Caenorhabditis elegans: one gene and its partners. The protein of the gene in region 1 interacts with the protein of each later gene in a pairwise test. Each region holds a gene or a part of one and is shown in the gene's direction. Other genes may lie near its edges.

Region 1 (3,242 bases):
TTCTTTAGTTCCATTCTTCAACATTTTCTTGACGAAAAATTTGGAATAGACGTTCTTTGACATCCTCACTATTTCTGGGGTTAATTCGTTGAACACTGCAATAATTATGTTCTCGTAATTATTCATGGGAACCTTCAAAAAACTTACAGTTGTTAATGATTCCTTCTCTTTCAGTGGCAACAAGACATTCGATAACTCTGCTGGTGTCGTGAGCATAGATCAGCTTGGCAGCGTGTCCTTTTACAAGACCATACAACTCGTGAACCGCAGTATCCTTTTCAGCTTTTGGCGTCTTTCCCATTCTGATCTTTTCCCAAAGTTCCTTGCATTTTTGAGCACGAGCTCCTTCAGGTTTTCTCTTCAATTTCAACTCCTTCAAAAATGCTTTTCTTTCTTTTCTCGGCATATTCAGCAATTGTTCTTTAACAGACTTTGTGACTTGAATAGCTACTCTCTTTCTCTTTAGAGTTGGAATGTCAATATGAGATTCATCTCCACCTGCTTGTTCGTCGACAGATTCCAAATTTTCATCGTCTGCTGGCTCAGAAGCAACGGCTTTCTCTGCATTAACCTTCACTTTTTTCTTTGGGGGAGCGGAATGCTCTTCTTCTTCTTCCTGAGCAACTTTGACAGTCTTCACTTTGGCAAGTTTCTGAAAAAAAACAATTGTGTAAAAGACGATATATTGAATTAACAAACCTTAACCTTCTTATCAAGAGGGGATCTGAGAATTCCTCTTCCTGGAGATGCCTCTGATGGTTTGATTTGAAGATCCTGAACTCGCTTATCGAAAACCTTAACATGTTCAAGTTCTCCTGAGAAAAGCACTTTTTTCGATTTCTTTTTCGGTGCTGGCTGGCTTCCGAACGAAGACTCCGAGCACAAAGAGTCACGAGTCCCATCATTATCAAAAACTGATGTTGAAGATGACTTTTTCAACCTTTCCAACTCGTCCTTCACAGCTTTGTCTACTTTGCTTTTTAACGCTGCTTTTTCTTCAATCTGAAATATTTCACAAAAAATTATTTACAAAATGAAGTAATTTAACAAACCTTAACAATTCGCTTTCTGTCTACTTTGTTGAGTTTTAATCCTTTTGCCTTTTTCTCCAACACATTTTTAACCTTCTTCTTCCCTTTGAATTTTTTATTTTTGTCGTCGAGTTTCACCATTTTTACCCGCGAGATTTCTCTGAAAGACACGCATATTAAAAGGAGTAATAAACACAAGACAATTTTATGTGAGGTTTAAGCGATTTTTACTTTGGAAACAAATTGCACAGCTTCAAAATAGTAACAAAAAGTTACGAAAAAGTAAAGAAAAATGAAAAGAAAATGTTAAAGGCGCATGTTGTCTTCTGACGTCTCTCAATTTACACACTCTCTTCTTCGTCGTTGCGAGACCTGCCGCAATGTTCGTCTCTCCCGTAAATCGACATTGGAAAATCATCATTTGAAATTTTATTTCCATTTAGCTGCCATTTTCAGATTATCAGCTTTTATTTTCGCAATAATTCTACTATTTTTAACGCATTCAAATAAACGAATTATTAAATATTAAATTTTAACGGTTCTTCTGATTTCCGCAGAAATAAAACACGTACCAGTTGCAATCATATATGTGTTAACATAGTTTTTATTTTGCAGAATGAGTTCAATCGGTACCGGCTACGATCTCGCCGCCTCTACTTTTTCTCCTGATGGCAGAATTTTCCAAGGTTTGTTTCGATTTTGCTTTGTTCAAAATACTCATAATCTCGTTTTCAGTCGAGTACGCTCAAAAGGCTGTCGACAATGCAGGAACAATGATTGCAATTCGTGGCAAGAACGGAGTTGTGGTCGTTGCTGACAAGCTGATCTCTTCCAAACTTTACACTGATGTGAGTAATTTAAGAGATTTTCAAGATTTTATCTATAATTTTCAGAACGCTAATCCAAGAATGTTTAACGTGAACGACAATGTTGGTGTCGCAGTTGCTGGAAACTATCCAGATGGTTTCGCTCTGAAGAACTATGCTTACGGAGAAGCAATGAAGTGGCTCAAAGACTACCGTGAGCCAATGCCGATTCAGAATATTGCTAACTCAGTTGCTGAGTACATTCACATTCACACTCTCGGCATTAGTCGTCCGTTTGGAGCAGGAGCCTTCTTCATGTCATGGAACAAACAAACTGGAGGACGTCTTTTCCTTGTGGAGCCATCAGGTCTAAACTATGAATACAAGGCATGGGCTGTCGGAAAACATCGCCAAGCCGCAAAAGCTGAGATTGAGAAGCTGAAGATCGAGGAGCTGGATGTGAATCAACTCGTGAAGGAAGCTGCTCGAATCATTATGGTGGTGCGTGACGAGAACAAGGATAAAAACGTTCAAATCGAAATGGGATGGGTCGGTGAGCAGACGAACGGAAAGTACGAAGAAGTTCCAAGCGAGGTTGTCACTGCTGCCGAGGAATGGGCTATTGCCAAGCTTGACGAGGACGACATGGACGATTGAATCATTCTCGTGTATTTATTCACATTTTTAATTTATTATCAGCTCTCTTCTTTCTGCCCTGGTAAACTTCTTGCGCTCGGCGAGTCATTTTATTGTACTTCAAACCGACTCACCGACTTCAAGAAGAACTTTTTGCACCCGGATGTTTTTTTTTAACTTTTTCTGTTCATTATTTTTCGGTTTCCCGGTATTACCCATTTTTCTCAATACAAATTCAGACAAACCAGAAACATGTTTATGCACAATTCGCTGGGGGCAGTAGACCCGTCCCAAATTATGGCGCTATGTACAAACAAGGATAACAACAATTTTTTAAGTTATGCGGCAACTGCTTGAACTGCTTCCTCGATCATCACACTTTGACCAGTCTTCTGTTTCTCCAAGCACTCAAATACAGAATCTCGAAGATGTCTGTATGTTCTCGTAAGCTCTCCCATTCCAGTTTTCAATCCATTCGAGACGTAGGCAATCGTGATCCCATCTTCCAAATCCATCATTACTGTGCTGCCACCGTAACCAGGATGTCCAACAAGCCACTTTTTCTGAAAAAATAATTGATTTATTATTATATTTATTAAAACGATGCTCACCCCTCCCATTGGATGTCTCTCGTATAGGAAACCATGTCCTTTTGGTAGAGGAGTCATGACAACTTCATCAATCCCCTGAACTTGGGGGGCACGGAACTTTTCTAGAAGTTCAGTAGAGAACAGTTTTCCTTGTTGTACGAGTGAGAAAAGTCTAGCTA
Region 2 (5,026 bases), on another chromosome or scaffold:
AGGTCCAAGAACGCCAGCTCCGTGTGTGTACAACAGTCGCCATTGCCATTGTTTCGGAAACTTGTGCCCCATTTACAGTACTTCCAGCAATTATGAACGAGTATCGTGTACCTGAAATTAATGTACAAAACGGAGTTTTAAAAGCTCTTTCATTCATGTTCGAATACATTGGAGAAATGGCAAAAGACTACATTTATGCAGTTGTTCCGCTGCTCATTGATGCATTAATGGAAAGAGATCAAGTTCATCGTCAGATTGCAGTCGACGCAGTTGCTCATCTTGCTATTGGAGTTTATGGATTTGGTTGTGAAGATGCACTTATTCATTTATTGAATTATGTGTGGCCCAATATGTTGGAAAACTCACCGCATCTTATTCAACGATGGGTGTTTGCATGTGAAGGAATGCGAGTTTCGTTGGGACCTATTAAGGTTTTTATTTTAAATTCTTAATAATTTCAAAAATTAAAATTCATTTCAGGTTCTTCAATATTGCCTGCAAGCTCTTTGGCATCCAGCGAGAAAAGTTCGAGAACCAGTGTGGAAGGTAATTATTTTAGTTTCCTTGAATTTTCAATTACAGAAATAGTGGAAATATTCGGAATATAGCTTTTAAAATATTTATAGAATGTTTCTAATTTTTTAATGATTTTTTTCAATTGAATTTTTATTTTTCAGAGAAAATTTATTTTTATTGTGAAATATCTTCTTTTTTTTCGACCAAAAGTGAGCGACCGGAAAAATTGAAAAAGGAAAAAATTAAATACAGGTTGCGCGGGAATTCAAAAATGTTTTGGTACTTCTCAAATTTTCCGCAAAATTTAAAAAAAGATTAGAAAATTTCTATAAATTTTTTAAAATTTGTATTCGGAATATTGAGACGTTTTTTCCACAAGCGCTAAATTTTTATGTAATTTCATATTAATATTTCCAGGTCTTCAACAACCTAATTCTTGGCTCCGCAGATGCTCTTATTGCCGCCTATCCACGTATCGAGAACACCCCAACAAATCAATATGTCCGCTACGAACTTGATTATAATCTTTAAATAATTTTCTAATTTTTGTTTTTTTTATTTGGATCTCGATAACTTATTTTTCTATCTCCGTGTTCCCTCCCTCCTTTCATCACATTTTCATAGAAAACGAAACCTTTTATATTTTAATCCCATTTCCCTCCAAATATTCTCTTGAATCTAGATTAATCTAACAAAATTGTTTTGGTTGTCAGTGGTTTTTTTTTGTTTTTCTATTACTTTTCTCCAATATCAATCAATTTATTCCCAAAAAAAAAAACAACAACAACTCTTGCGATAGATATTTAAAATGAAGACTTGTCAAATTATTTTAATGTTTTAAAGAAATCCCTTTTTTTTTGTTGAAGTCAAATTTCGCTTATTTTTTCTCGTTTAAAAATTTTTTAAATACCTTAAAAAATATCAGAGTTTCCTAATACTCTCCAAATATAAAAATAATTTTCTAATTTTATTTTTGGCAAAATTATCTTTAAAAAAGAAATTTTACAAATTCTTTCAATATTAGTTCCTTAAAAACGAAAATTTTGCGCTTTTTGCAGCAACAGTACAGTGGCTGGTCTCGAAACGACAAATGTGTATTAAATGCAAAAATGGTGTGCGCCTTTAAGGATTACTGTAGTTTAAGAATCTCTTTGTTACGGAATTTTCATCGATTTTTCATAATCTTCTTTCAATTTTTATTTTTCTAATCGAAAAACTTTTGTTTGCACAGAATTTTCATCGATTTTATCTCAAAAATATATTTACTCATACAAATATTAAAATACTTAAAATTTGAACAAAATCTATGAAAATTATGCAGCTACGATATTTTTGTTAAACACATTTTTGCATTGAACTAAAATTGTCGCGTCGAGACCGGTTACCGTATTTTTTGTACAAATGTTCGCGTCTTTGTAATAATTAAATTCTCTGAAAATTAGTTTTTCTCAAAAAATCGATTTTTTTCAGTCATCCCTTCCAAGTGAGCAAAAGAATTTCGAAAATCTTCGTTCAAAAGCGCAGGTGCTGCTTTGGTCCGTGAAGGCGGTGTGGATCCACGGGGATGGCGTTCGAAATAGCTGGACCCAGCAGCAGCAATAACTCAAGTCAACGGAGAGCAACCACTGAACCACCGCCTGAAAATGAGCTACAACTTGGACTTCACGAGGCACAGAAGATGACATGGAATGCTAAAGTCGTGTATCACACGATCGACAAATGTCCGCATTGTGATCCGGTTCGTAATGGATAGGGCACAGAATTATTCATTAAAATACTGAAAAATTAAAATTAAAGTAAAGTTAAAATACTCAAATTACCTCAATAGACCGGTTTTGATGGATTAAAAATTCGAAAATAAACTTCGATGAACTAAATTCTCCAATTTCTCAACTTCCGTGTAATTTCTCAACTTCCGTGTTGATGAATTAATTTTTATTTAATTATTTACTTTTGCACGTTTTTTTCTCTCTTTTGCATTTTCTGATGATTGGAACGATAATCTGGACAATTTTCACTGAAAATACGCAAAATAAAAAAGTTATTAAATAAAAATTAATTTGCGACATGGAAATGTTGGTAAAATTCGAAGATTTTAAGCAATGTCCAATTTTTAGATGATTTTCATGAATTTTCCAAAAAAAAAACAGCTGAAATTATATTTGAATTTCCGCACAATTGTATGTCCAGAAAATGCAGAAATTTCGAAATTAGGCAATTCATTTGCTTGGGAAATCAAGTTTAATTCAGCCGGTTTTTTAAAAAATTGTTTCGGAAAAATCTCTACTCCTCCCTTTAGCATTCTTTTTTCATTTTTAGGCATTTTTATGATGCTTCATTTTGAAATTCAGTCTTTTTGTAATTTTGATTTATTTTATTTTAGTTTTTCCAATAATTTTGATCAGTTGCCGGCTGTTAGTTGTCGCAAAATTGGTTTTCTGGTTATTGACAATAATAAAGTATTTTTCAGAGCAAAAAAACCGGAGATAATCGAAAATAAAATTGTAGAAATTTTATCGAAAATATGGCCAGTTTTAATCTATTATTCAAAAAAATCGAATTCTTTTGATTTTCCAAAAATAATTCATATTTTTCAGAGCAAAAAACCATCATGCCTGAAGGAAGATGAACATATGGCAGTACTCGTTCATGATAAAACACTTGCATTTATGAAACCATGCTATATTACAGTATCAAAAACAGATGAAACTGGTGATCATGAATTATCATTTCGAATTGAAACAACAATTCTCTCCGAAGCAAAAAAGACGAATAGTGCTGCAAGTATTCATCGGAGCGGACCGTCGAGTAATCGAAATTCGAGAGTTTATGATGAGGCCGCCCGTCAGGCAGTGCTCGCCGAGTTGGATAAAGATGAAGATGTTGTTGAGAAGAAGAAATCGTCGGTTATGATTGGAAAACCTGAAGATGTGGTAATAATGTTATGAATATAGTTTGAAAATAATTTCATTTTTTCAGACCTGTACATTGTCCCTAGCAAAAGGAGCCCCAGGGCTTATCACGAATCGGATAGATTTTCTGAAACAAAATGATATTGTGAAGTGCACTTTGGAGACAGTTGATACGGTATGAGTTTTTTGAAAAATTAATTTTTGCGATTTTATAGTTTTTTCCTGATAAATTTCAATTTTTTTTTTGAAAAATGAATAGATTTTTTTTAAAACTAAAAAATCAATGAAAATTCTACATCAACGATAGTTTGAAACTACAGTACTCTTTAAAGGCACACACTTTTTTATTTAAGAAAAAAATCGCGTCGAGACCGGGTACCGCATTTTTGGAGCAAAATTTCGCAACAAAAATTAATGTTTCAGGTATCCCTTGACAATGTGCAATTAACATTCCGAGAGCAATATATGAGCCGAGCCGATATGTATCGTTACCGTAGTTGCCTGATCGGACGAATGACATATGTAGAAGAACCGAAACGATATATGAATATAAATACTCGTATTTCGGATATGTGGAGAAAAGGATCATTAGTCAGAAGTGGATATGTTACAGATAAGACACGTGTTGTATTCCGTTCAAGTTCAAGTACAGTACTCATATTTATTCAAATGTGCTCTGAAATGAATCAACTCGATCCGCAAGGAGATTTGTATTTGGAAAAATGTATTAAAGGATTTTTAACGGAATTATTCTTGAAATGGAAAGAACAATCATGTACACATTATGTATCAATTATTCTGTGCTCACGGTGGTATGCGGTGAGTATTAAAATATAAGTTTTTTCTTCAAAAACTGCTCAAAAAGTCTGAAAATTAGAATTTTTGGCTGGAAATTATTTTTATCAGTTTTGTTGCATATTACGGTTTTTTTCGCACCTTTTCAAAATTTTCACGCAACATTGCTCAAAATTTAATACAAGTTTTTGCATTTTTCGACTTTAATTTCCTGAAAATCAAAGGAAAAATGCAACATAAACTACCAAAAATCGATTTTTCCATTTTAAAACTGGGAAATAAAACGCTTTTAAATAAAATTGTGTACTTGTTGATGATTTTTTTCTAAAAAAAAAGAAAATGGCCAAAATGTTTAGATATTTTTCAAAAATCGGAAAAATTCGAAGATCATGGAGTTTGAAATGTATCGAGCTCCAAAGGTGTATTTTCGGATCCTTCAGCTATAGAAGATCAGATTTAACATGCGGATGATCAAAAATCGGACTCCATAGGTTGAATGTGATCTACCAATTCTTCGGCATTAGCTGGAAGATCAGATTCCACTTATGGAGTCTGAAGAATCTGATCTTCCAGCTAGGGATCTTCCTATCTTCCTTAACTATAAGATCAGAAGCCAAATATTGATTTTGCAAGATTTTCAGTTGTTTAAAAATCAATAAAATAAAGTCTGAAGAATCTGAGATCAAAAATAGACTCCATAGGTGGAACCTATTCTTCCATAGATCATTTCTGATCCTTCAGCTATAGAAGATCGGGTTTTATATATGGGGAAGATCATCAATCGGACTCCATAGTTGGAATGT
Region 3 (3,691 bases), 3.0 Mb from region 1:
CGTTTTGCAGCTTCGATCAGTTCATGCTGATTCTTTTCGCGGGCGGTGATACGAAGATAGGTTGTGACGATTCCATTCTGAAGAAAATTAATACTGTTGGTTACTAGCTAAATCGGCTTGCCTTTTCTGGAGCATCGACGAAAGACATTTCCACATTTTGAATGGGGTTCTGTCTGACATGTGCCTGAAGTTCGTGAAGTGGCATCTTCATTTTTGACAGTGCCATAAAAACTGTAAAATGACAGTTTCTCTGTAAAATACGAACATTATTCATATAATCAGAGTTGAACGTACTCTCATCAACATTCGTGCTCTATCCACGTCACCAAAGTATCCAGTGATGGTTACTTGCTGTGCAAATGGATCAGGTGTAGTTCCTCCGACAGAACGATCGGGAAGTTGAATGAGGGTGTTAGTTTCTGCCATGATTGACGCGACATTCTCGTGATCCCCGTTGTCACTGAAATGAATACAATTTCTTTCGCTTAACTGGTGAACTAACCTGGTCATTAGTGAATAGTATTGGGATTCAAACTCCATATTGAGGGTTACTCTAGTTGGGTTAATCTCGATCTAAATGTTGAATCAGTTAATCAGTGGAATGTGAAGCAGTCAAACCATTGGTATATTTGACGGCAGAGGCAATCCTTGCGCTTTTAGCTGATGAATATGAGCCTCTCGTTTCGTGTTGTATGACACCTGTCGTCTCTGATTAGCATCCTCCGCCATCTGAATTGTTTGACTGTAACATAACAAGTTGTTGCCTTTACCTGTGCAGATTGCTGGAAATCATGATAGAAGTTTTCAGGATTCACGATAATATCTTTGAGGGCAGACGATACAAATAGTTTTCTAAAATCGGAGTATTAGAATGTTGTAAGCGTAAACCATATTTAATACCTTGCAGATGCCGCATTTTCTGCCATTTGGAGGCGTGTGTCAGCATCGTATTCAACGGCAGAGCGAACGAATGGATTGTAGGAGTGCGCTTCATCATGATCTTTTTCATGGCTTTGCTCCCCCATCTGCAAAATTGAAATCTTGTTTCTAACACTAAAGCGTTTGCTCAGTAAATTTTTTGAGTTTCAAATATTTTATAAATGATCGTCAGTGCCTCCGTCGATGTTACTGGTATTAGTATCATCGTGGAACGATTAATTACAGATAATATTAGCATTATAAGGATGAAATTGCACGAAAACAAATGAGAAAACACACTGAAAATCACGCTGAACGTGTGTTCGAGGAATTGGGCGCCAAACAATCTCCTTGAAGAACGTTGTAAGACCTGCTCGATTTCGGTAATGCGCCTTTCTGAAAACTTTCTTGGTTACTGTACTTTTTAAATTTGATTAGCTGCCTAATATTAGGGGCGGCTTCATTTAACAGACTGAACATTTGAATTACATTTTAATAAATTGTTATACTATTTTGTTATATCTGTGTTGCTTTCTACTTTTTCAAAATTAACTTCCCCTTTTTTAGAAACACCCATTGGCTTTGCATCATTTTTTATTTTGCGAGCTACTGTAAACAAGTCCGCAAACACCGCACACAGAGAATTACGTCTTAGTCGACGCGCAAACCGCTTTAACTTATTTTCGCTTTTTCCGTTTTTAATACAACTTTTGTTAGTTTCCAGGCTTTGAATATGGATGAAGAGGGTTCTCGTTCGTCTATCACTGATGAAGAAGATTATGTAGACGATAATGATAATGGCGAAGACTATGAAGGTATGCTTATATATATATTTTTTCAAATTTCTTCAACGTATGGTTTTCCAGCGACAATTGAAGAGGAGGAGCTTCTAGATGAAGGGGACTACGAAGATGAATTGAAAGGTGAATTTCTTTAATTTGCTTCTGACTCATTTTTCTTTTCAGACTTGGAAGATGAGGGAGAAATGTCAATTGAAGAACTTCAACGTAAGTATGGCTATCGTCCAGCGGAAAATTCATCTGCAAACAATGAAGATACGGAAATCGCCGAAGAAGTAATTTACAAATGATAAAGTGAAATTATAAAATGTTTATATTTTTCAGAATGTAGGGGAATCAAGTTCGGCTGCTGCAGAACCGCACGACTCAACAATTTTCGATATGGGTAATTCAATGAGTGGCTTCGACGACGATGATGACGACTATGCACCACCGCCAGACCCATGGAAAAGAAGTATTCGTGTGGATCCAGTACTTTTCCAAGCCGACGTCCCGCTTTTTAATGAAGCAACGGTTGAAGGTAAGCAATGATCTGATTTTTGATTCTATATCGATTTATTTCTTCAGAATCTGCTCGAGAAGATGACACTATTTTATGGACAATTGATCAGACGAATCAGCCAAGTGATGAAGTTATTGACAACTATCTCAAAGATGTAGTAGGCTTACGAAAAGCCCACGACCAACCATGTCCACCAGCTGGCACCGAATCACGAGACGACGAGGACGCTCTATGTGCTTTGTATAGAAGCAACTTTGACACAGAAAAGGCGAAAGAATCATTCCCTTTTCCTCATATAAATGCCCCATTCCGCACTGTTCGCTCAGATGCATTGGGATTCGATGAGAGTGAAGCAAAGGCATTTGAAGAGTCACTCGAGCTGTATGGAAAAGATTTTTCGCTGATAAGGAGACTACGGGTTAGTTGTATATTTTGCAAATTCAAAAAGTTTTCATAATGTTTTATTTTAGCTACCCTACCGGAAAGTTGGAGAACTTATCGAATACTACTATCAATGGAAATTAACCCCTGGGTGAGAGAACGACGATTTCAAATTTTAATAATTTATTTCAGCTATCGAGTTTGGCGGGACGCTCATCCACAGCATGCGCCAGTAGTTCAGCCTCATTTATCTGCTGCATGGCATCAGCAAGTAGCTCAACTGGAAGATCAAAATGGTCAAACTGGATTTGTTGAAGCCTCCTTCTCCGAGCCATCTACTTCAGAGGAGCCATCAACTCTTACGAACTAAAACTAGGGAACTATTTTTTTACTTTTTCACCTAAGCATTTATTATTTTCGATCTCTGTTTAACAAATAATCTCGCCCCTGATACCCATTTACGTAATCACAACAATCAAATTCCTTCGTTGTCAAATTAATCTGAATCAAATATTCACTTTCATAAAATTTCATTGTTAAAATTAGAGTTTATCAACATTGATGACGACCCGTACACTGTCGGACTTCGGTCTCCGTATCATCACACTCGATTTCCTCCCAGTCATCATTTCTAGCACGTACAACACGTCTTCTTCTGGTCTGTGATCCTTCACCACATGTAAGTGAAAAACTGGGAGCCCCGTAAAAATATGGTGGAAATATGGAGCAAAAAGCATACCAATCGGAAGATAATGTTACTGTCTACTGAAAACCAACATTTAATTCTGCCATCTCGGTCTCAGTATCTGAAAATTTGCATCTGAAATTTTGGTGTTAAATCCCGTAGATTTTGCACTTATCGACCCCGTTTTCAGAGAGAGAGAGAGAGAGTAAATTATAGCTACGTTCGCACTTTTGTCTTACCGCATAAAATCCAATGCGCGTGCTCCAACCAACCGCAGTTGGCCCATGATCCAAGGGTACACCGAATTGGGGGTACATTTGTTCTTAGGGTACATTCGACATCATCACAATCATTCTTAGGCTACATCCACCGGTTTGTTCATAGGGTACATCGGCACTATGTTCC
Region 4 (6,406 bases), about 10 Mb from region 1:
ACAATGCTTTTCAACAAAAAGTGCATTGTTCGAGCGGTCGTTGTATCCTTTGTGGGCTCACGTTCAAAAAAACTACCAGGTACATCATTTGAAAATTCATCCAGCATTTCTGAAATCAAGATGTTTGAAATATCCTGGTAATTAGAGGAAATTACGGTTAAAGGTCGAAAATTAAATACCTAATTGAAAATATAGTTTTTTTTTAAATTTGATATTCTCTCTTGAAAAACACCGAGAAAAAACGAAAAAATAGGCAAAATCAAATAATTTTTAATTTTTCTTCGGAACCCGTGCCAAACAATAAGACTTTCTTGTGATTTTTTAAAATTTCGAAATTCGATTTTTATTTGTTTAATTCAATATTTTTCTCAAAAAAGTAAAAATCTTGATTCTAGAAATTATATTTTAGATCTACATTTAGAAATTTCAATTATTTTTATTAAACTATGCATACCAATGAATACATCATCATTTTCTGCTCCTTCCTGTCCTGGGTCTTCGTTAGAAAACATATGCCTGTAACAAAGGTAATCAAATTAAATTTGAAATACAAATTATTAGAAATCTGATTGGTGTTTGAATCCGAATCCCTCCAAAAATCAAGATAGAAAAAAATAAAGATTATAACGGAAATTCATAACAAAACAAGTTTAACGATTTTAGAAAACAAAACAAAACAAATTTGAGGAAAACGAAAAGATTTAAGAAAAAATAAGTAAAATATTTATCGCCGAATGATCTTTCTGGGCCCTTTCTGTTCCAGACTCGGAGGTTTCAAGAGAATCGCGGCACGGAGGGAACGAAGAGTTTGAGCAGACGCCACATCGAGACGAATCAGGTCTGCACCTAGTGCTTGGAACATCTGAAAATGGGGCATTTTGGTGAATAAAACTCTTGTTGGAGTTCTTTGAAAATGTGCTTAATTTTAGAGAATGTTTAGAGAAAAAAATAAAATAAATAATTTCAAAATTATGCGTACGCGAATCTTGTAAAAGTAAAAGTACGCGAATCTTTCTATCACGTTTCATGCACAAAATTGGGTTCATTTTTTCTGGATTTTAGACTATTTTAAACAATTCAAAGCAAAATTTTCAAGTGGGATTTACCTTCTCAAGTTTACTAGGCTGATAACTAAGAGCTTGTTGAAATGGAGTAATCGGTACTTTGTGCTCGGGTGCCAATGTCAATGCCAATGCAAGTGTGTGCGCGATAAAACGATCATAGTCGGTAACATTGAGACGGATTCGTTCGGCTCCACGTCCAGTGTACCCCTTCTCATTAGTACTATCATTGAAAAACTGGGCCTGAACTTTCTGTCGGAGAATATCGGGCATCTTTAGCTCACTCAAATCTTTTCTCAGCAACTGTCTTTGCTTTCCCATTTTTGTGAGGATCTCGATCATGGTGGAGAGTAAAAGATAGGCGGCTGCACGTTGTTTGGTCTTTTCATTGTACATAATAAGAGTAACACACTCTGGAATTCCAGCTTCAAGTTTCTCTTTTTTCTTCTTTTCCATCAGTTCAGTGGCGATCGATTCAATTGCGTCAATCTCAATGTCTTCAAGGAACAAGGAAATTGGATAGATATCTCGTGAAAGTTCCGTTTGAACAGCAGGTGGAAGAATTGATGATTCGGCTTTATTCATCATTGTGATATTCTCCAACTTCACGTCAGCAGCACCATCCTCAGTTTTAACGTTCGAATTCGAAGCGAACGCGGTCTTTCTCATTTCGTCCAATGTTTCTTGATTAATAGTTCTTCGTTGAGCTGCTTCATCCATTTTAATTTTCTTCGAAGAACCAAAATTCGATGTCAATTGACGACGTTTCTCAGCCCATTTCTCTGCTCCAATTGAAAAATCGTTTTTGTATTCTTCAGACGACGATTCCTTCTTGTCACTGAAAATCTTCTCAATGTCTTCTGAGAACTTGCTTTCGAATGAATAGAATCGTGCAGGACGATATGTTGCTTCTCCAGTTCTCTGTAAGTTTTTTTAAAAAATATTCTTATTCAAATACATAATTCGATATTCCTTCAAGAGTACACAAAGGTGGAGTACAGAAATCTGAGAAATATTATTAAATGACTCCAAATTTTACCTTGAACCCGAAAATCTGTGTGAAAAAAATTCAAAGATTTTCTATATTCTATATTTTTTATATAAGCTTGAAATGGCGAATTTCATTTGTGCACCACCCATGAATAACTTTTTTCGCCTCAGAGACGCCATGTGTCGATTTACGAAATTTTTAATCTATATCGGATGCTGATTTCCGTTTTTCATTGATTAAAAAAAAATTTTTGGAGCGTTTGAAAAATCTCAAGGGTTCACAAATGAAATTCGGGGATTTCAAGCTGAAATCCAAAGTCAGTGAAATTTTTTTTTGATAGATTTTCGGAATCAGGGGAAAATTTGGAGTCATTAAAAAATATTGGTACTAGTCCTAAATCACCCCGCCACTTTTTTTATTTGTGTATTATTTCCCCTCATTTTAATATTATTCATTTTAATAAAACGTGATGTCCATTTTCCATCTTTAGGCTTAGAAATGGCTATTTCCTAAGCCTAAAAATACAAAAACTCCACACGTTTTTATTTGAAAAAAAAGAAAAAAAGTGGCGGGGTGATTTAGAACTAGTACCAAAATATTTTTCAGGTTTCGGTACTCAGCCTTTGAAAGAGTGAATTTGTTAGCTAAAATACACTCAAAATTACCTTATCAACCAAAGCAACAGCAAAATCGAATCCCTCATCAAGACAATTAACATCTGCCCCAACTTCTACAACATGCTCGCTAATATCTCCTTTTACGCTGAATATTGGCGCTTTTTTACGTCCTCCTTTTCCGTGTCTTTCGAATGTCAGCTAAAATGGATTTTTATTTTCATTTGAAAGAAGGTGCTTTAGAACAAACGTTTTTCAAATCTTTTGGCCGATTGTGCACGAATGAGGCAACGATATCAGAATCTGCAAATTCTTTGTTGGATTCCACATTTCTCACGTGGCAAGCCGTCTTCTTCGCACTCAGCTCCTCACTTGACAACCACATTTCGCCTCAAATTTAAAGATTTCAAAGTAAAAGCCTGTAAAATGAAAAACAAAGAAATAAGAAAATATATGAATGTGCATATGAAACACAGTATTTTTAGACAAAAAAGGTATAAATTCAAGCTTTTAAAGGGCGCCAGGCGCCACGAACTTAATTTTAATACATAATATAAGCAAGAAAATATTATTATAAAGATCAATTGTGGTGAGATCGGTTGACTGAAGAATTTGAAGTTCTCTGGTGAAAGTCGGAATGCATGTTGGGATCTATAAAAGGTTAAAAATTGCACAAAAATCATATTTAGGAAAAAAACCGAAAACCTTGGAAACTGTCTTCACTCATATGGCCTGGGCCGTTTGTGGAAGTTGTTGGCACCGTTTTCGGAGGTAGAAAGTCGATGAGAAAATCGAACTGATCACTTTTTTGCACTGCGCTTGCTATGTCGGCTTTTTGAAGAATTCGTCGCCTTGCTTCTGACACGTATTGCCAGCCCATTGCGGTCATTTCTTCAATGAAAAACTCGGCTGCTTGAGCCATAAATATCGGAGCATCAGACGCGATCATCTGTAAAAAGTGTATGAAGATCGGCTGGAAAATGACACTACTCACAAAGTTGCGAACATCGTCGTCTATTCGCATAATCTTTTTCACTCTAGCCATGGGAACGCTCATGTTTTTCGACTTGTTCAGCATATCCTCTTCAGAAATCTCAGTCATTTTCTGTTTTTTTTCACGCCAGAAATCTTCTGTCATTTGTCTCATCGAGGCGTACTTTGCCGGTGGTATCGCATCATTGTGATGGATTAAATTATTATAAGGATGAACCGCACCTTCTACAATAGAAGGCATATTTATTGGATGCATGTTCGGCTAAAATGAAATAAAATAAATAAGTTTTTAAAACGAGTTGATTTTATTCACCGTGTAGGGATGTTCCATGAACACTTCTGATTGATTTGTCCCATCATTTTGTATGTATTCGGCAGTTTCGTTGTTTTCGGCGTGTAAAAGCTGAAATAAATGAAACATTTGCTGGGAAGTCGAAAATTTTAAATTGTATTACTTACATTATTGTCTAAAACTTCTGGGAATTGCGACATCACGGCAGATGCAAGAAAAATTAACTTTAAACTAATTAGAAAAAAATAAATTAAAACAACACTATTCTTCTGTCGTGAAATATTGTGCATTGTGTGCACGTACACCGAGGCGGAAGATTGCGGACTCGATCAACTGCGCTCTGTTGGACACGATGACAATTTCAATTCTGATTTTCATTTCTGACGTTCTTTCCTCATGAGAACCTCGTTTTTTCAGATTTTTACATCTTATACAGATTAAAAAATGTTTTCATTCAAAACTAGATATTTTCTGAATTCCAGAACATGGTTGAACCAACTGGTCCCGCCATCGTAGAGGATGAACGCACTAAGGCGCTCAACAGCTATAGAAGAAAATTGGCAGAGTGCCGTGACATTGAACAGAAGTTGAAGGACTTGCGAAAAAAAGAAAGCGAGATGACCAAACAATTTGACAAATCCGAGAACGATATCAAGTCGTTGCAATCTGTTGGACAAATTGTAGGAGAAGTGCTCAAGCAGCTCAGTGAAGAGAAATTCATCGTCAAGGCAACCAATGGTCCTCGTTATGTTGTCGGATGCCGTCGCAGTATTAACAAGGAAGAGTTGAAGCAAGGGACAAGAGTTTCGTTGGATATGACAACTCTTACTATCATGTAAGCTTTTAGTTTTTTAAACAAAAAGTCTTAAACCGAAATGTTTCAGGCGTCAGCTGCCACGTGAAGTTGATCCGCTAGTCTACAAAATGTCTCACGAAGATCCTGGTAACATTAGCTATTCAGATGTCGGAGGACTCGCTGAGCAGATTCGCGAGCTTCGTGAAGTTGTGGAGCTCCCACTCATCAATCCCGAACTCTTTAAACGTGTTGGTATCACTCCCCCGAAAGGATGTCTGCTTTTTGGTCCACCGGGAACAGGAAAAACTCTCCTTGCTCGTGCTGTAGCATCGCAACTGGATTGCAATTTCCTGAAAGTTGTCTCGTCTGCTATTGTTGATAAATATATCGGAGAGTCTGCAAGAATGATTCGAGAAATGTTCAATTATGCTCGTGACCATCAGCCATGCATTGTCTTCATGGATGAAATTGATGCGATCGGTGGAAGACGTTTCTCAGAAGGAACATCAGCAGATCGTGAAATTCAGAGAACTCTTATGGAACTTCTCAATCAGCTCGATGGATTCGATTCGCTTGGAAAAGTCAAGGTTATTATGGCCACGAATCGTCCTGATACATTGGATCCTGCTCTTCTTCGTCCTGGAAGACTTGATAGAAAGATTGAAATCGGACTGCCAAACGAACAATCTCGCTTGGAAATTCTCAAGATTCACTCGAACAAGATCACCAAACACGGCGAAATAGATTTTGAAGCTGTTGTCAAGTTGTCCGACGGATTCTCGGCTGCTGATTTAAGAAATGTGTGCACAGAAGCTGGTGAGGAGTTGAATCATAAAAATTGCATTCAAATTATCATTTTTGTTTCAGGAATGTTTGCCATCCGTGCTGAGCGTGAATTCGTTATCGACGAGGACTTTATGAAAGCTGTTCGCAAGGTTGGAGACGCGAAGAGACTTGAGACGAAGCTCGACTATAAACCTGTCTAATTGATTTTTTCGTATTTATTGGACCTTTCCCGTTTGCATCTTTTAACCATTATCCCGTTTTCAATGTTTCCGTGTAAAAAAAGAAGATCCGAATCATAAATTATTTTTGGCTGGTTCTTGACATGGAGTAGATTTCTCGATAAATAATATTTGTAGACCCAAATAATGACGAGCCTCGTAAAAAAAATCGCGAAATATTATAGTAATTTTTCGATTCTCCAGACTTTCAAAAAAAAAATTCAATTTTATTTGGCACAAAGGCACTTTTCGTGTAAAGATTCTCAATTTATCCTGAATAAAACCCACAAAAGGTCGAAAATTGTTCGATTTTTTTCAAAGAAAATAGAAAATGAAGCTTTTCAATTAAATTTTCGTTTCAGAGCAATGGCGAGCACCAGTATAAAATCTGCAATCGCTCGTATCGGATCCATCAAGTATACAGAACTGGAGGACCTGAAATCAGTGAGCATATCCCAGGAGGAACAAGAAGCAGTTAGAGTTGAGCTGGAAAAAGAAAAGGTTTGAGCTGATATATTCTGGAATGAGATTTATACTCGGAAATGCCACTACCCCATTCAAACACAAAATGTCTGGCTCGTTAATAATATAATTAGATCGGCTATTTGCGTCATTCGAGAGTTTCAATTCACACAAAAACATTCCAGAAAATCTT

Evidence for each region.
Region 2: the proteins of pas-7 (region 1) and depd-5 interact in a two-hybrid assay, tested with the Caenorhabditis elegans proteins (2 studies listed by BioGRID).
Region 3: the proteins of pas-7 (region 1) and T07F8.4 interact in a two-hybrid assay, tested with the Caenorhabditis elegans proteins (2 studies listed by BioGRID).
Region 4: the proteins of pas-7 (region 1) and rpt-4 interact in a two-hybrid assay, tested with the Caenorhabditis elegans proteins (2 studies listed by BioGRID).

What each region holds. Positions count from the first base shown.
Region 1 is NC_003280.10:10,098,259-10,101,500, reverse strand, and holds pas-7 (Proteasome subunit alpha type-3), read left to right. Parts: upstream 1-1,646; 5' UTR 1,647-1,647; coding exon 1,648-1,717; intron 1,718-1,766; coding exon 1,767-1,879; intron 1,880-1,924; coding exon 1,925-2,494; 3' UTR 2,495-2,719; downstream 2,720-3,242. Other genes in the region: puf-12 (Pumilio domain-containing protein 12), read right to left, coding at 1-95, 148-652, 700-1,002, 1,053-1,172; lact-2 (Beta-lactamase domain-containing protein 2), read right to left, coding at 2,812-3,036, 3,085-3,242.
Region 2 is NC_003281.10:4,260,103-4,265,128, reverse strand, and holds the start of depd-5 (DEP domain-containing protein), read left to right. Parts: upstream 1-1,984; 5' UTR 1,985-2,080; coding exon 2,081-2,254; intron 2,255-3,113; coding exon 3,114-3,449; intron 3,450-3,495; coding exon 3,496-3,603; intron 3,604-3,851; coding exon 3,852-4,247; intron 4,248-5,026. Other genes in the region: sftb-1 (Splicing factor 3B subunit 1 domain-containing protein), read left to right, coding at 3-431, 481-546, 934-1,047.
Region 3 is NC_003280.10:7,129,977-7,133,667, reverse strand, and holds T07F8.4 (ELM2 domain-containing protein), read left to right. Parts: upstream 1-1,635; 5' UTR 1,636-1,651; coding exon 1,652-1,733; intron 1,734-1,784; coding exon 1,785-1,841; intron 1,842-1,883; coding exon 1,884-1,993; intron 1,994-2,042; coding exon 2,043-2,238; intron 2,239-2,285; coding exon 2,286-2,638; intron 2,639-2,690; coding exon 2,691-2,752; intron 2,753-2,793; coding exon 2,794-2,971; 3' UTR 2,972-3,139; downstream 3,140-3,691. Other genes in the region: gld-3 (Defective in germ line development protein 3), read right to left, coding at 1-77, 122-250, 295-460, 503-573, 619-729, 771-852, 901-1,025.
Region 4 is NC_003280.10:41,690-48,095, reverse strand, and holds rpt-4 (putative 26S proteasome regulatory subunit 10B), read left to right. Parts: upstream 1-1,963; coding exon 1,964-1,984; intron 1,985-2,717; coding exon of another isoform or gene 2,718-2,867; intron 2,868-2,916; coding exon of another isoform or gene 2,917-3,051; exon of another isoform or gene 3,052-3,056; intron 3,057-3,178; exon of another isoform or gene 3,179-3,246; coding exon of another isoform or gene 3,247-3,317; intron 3,318-3,371; coding exon of another isoform or gene 3,372-3,615; intron 3,616-3,660; coding exon of another isoform or gene 3,661-3,921; intron 3,922-3,972; coding exon of another isoform or gene 3,973-4,062; intron 4,063-4,118; coding exon of another isoform or gene 4,119-4,151; exon of another isoform or gene 4,152-4,189; intron 4,190-4,433; coding exon 4,434-4,786; intron 4,787-4,835; coding exon 4,836-5,563; intron 5,564-5,614; coding exon 5,615-5,733; 3' UTR 5,734-5,889; downstream 5,890-6,406. Other genes in the region: C23H3.5 (Nucleolus and neural progenitor protein-like N-terminal domain-containing protein), read right to left, coding at 1-109, 455-512; rpoa-49 (RNA polymerase I associated factor, A49-like protein), read right to left, coding at 725-862, 1,107-1,982, 2,718-2,867, 2,917-3,051; Nuclear transcription factor Y subunit nfyc-1, read right to left, coding at 3,247-3,317, 3,372-3,615, 3,661-3,921, 3,973-4,062, 4,119-4,151; F23F1.10 (Reverse transcriptase domain-containing protein), read left to right, coding at 6,118-6,252. UniProt on the Caenorhabditis elegans protein: The 26S proteasome is involved in the ATP-dependent degradation of ubiquitinated proteins. The regulatory (or ATPase) complex confers ATP dependency and substrate specificity to the 26S complex.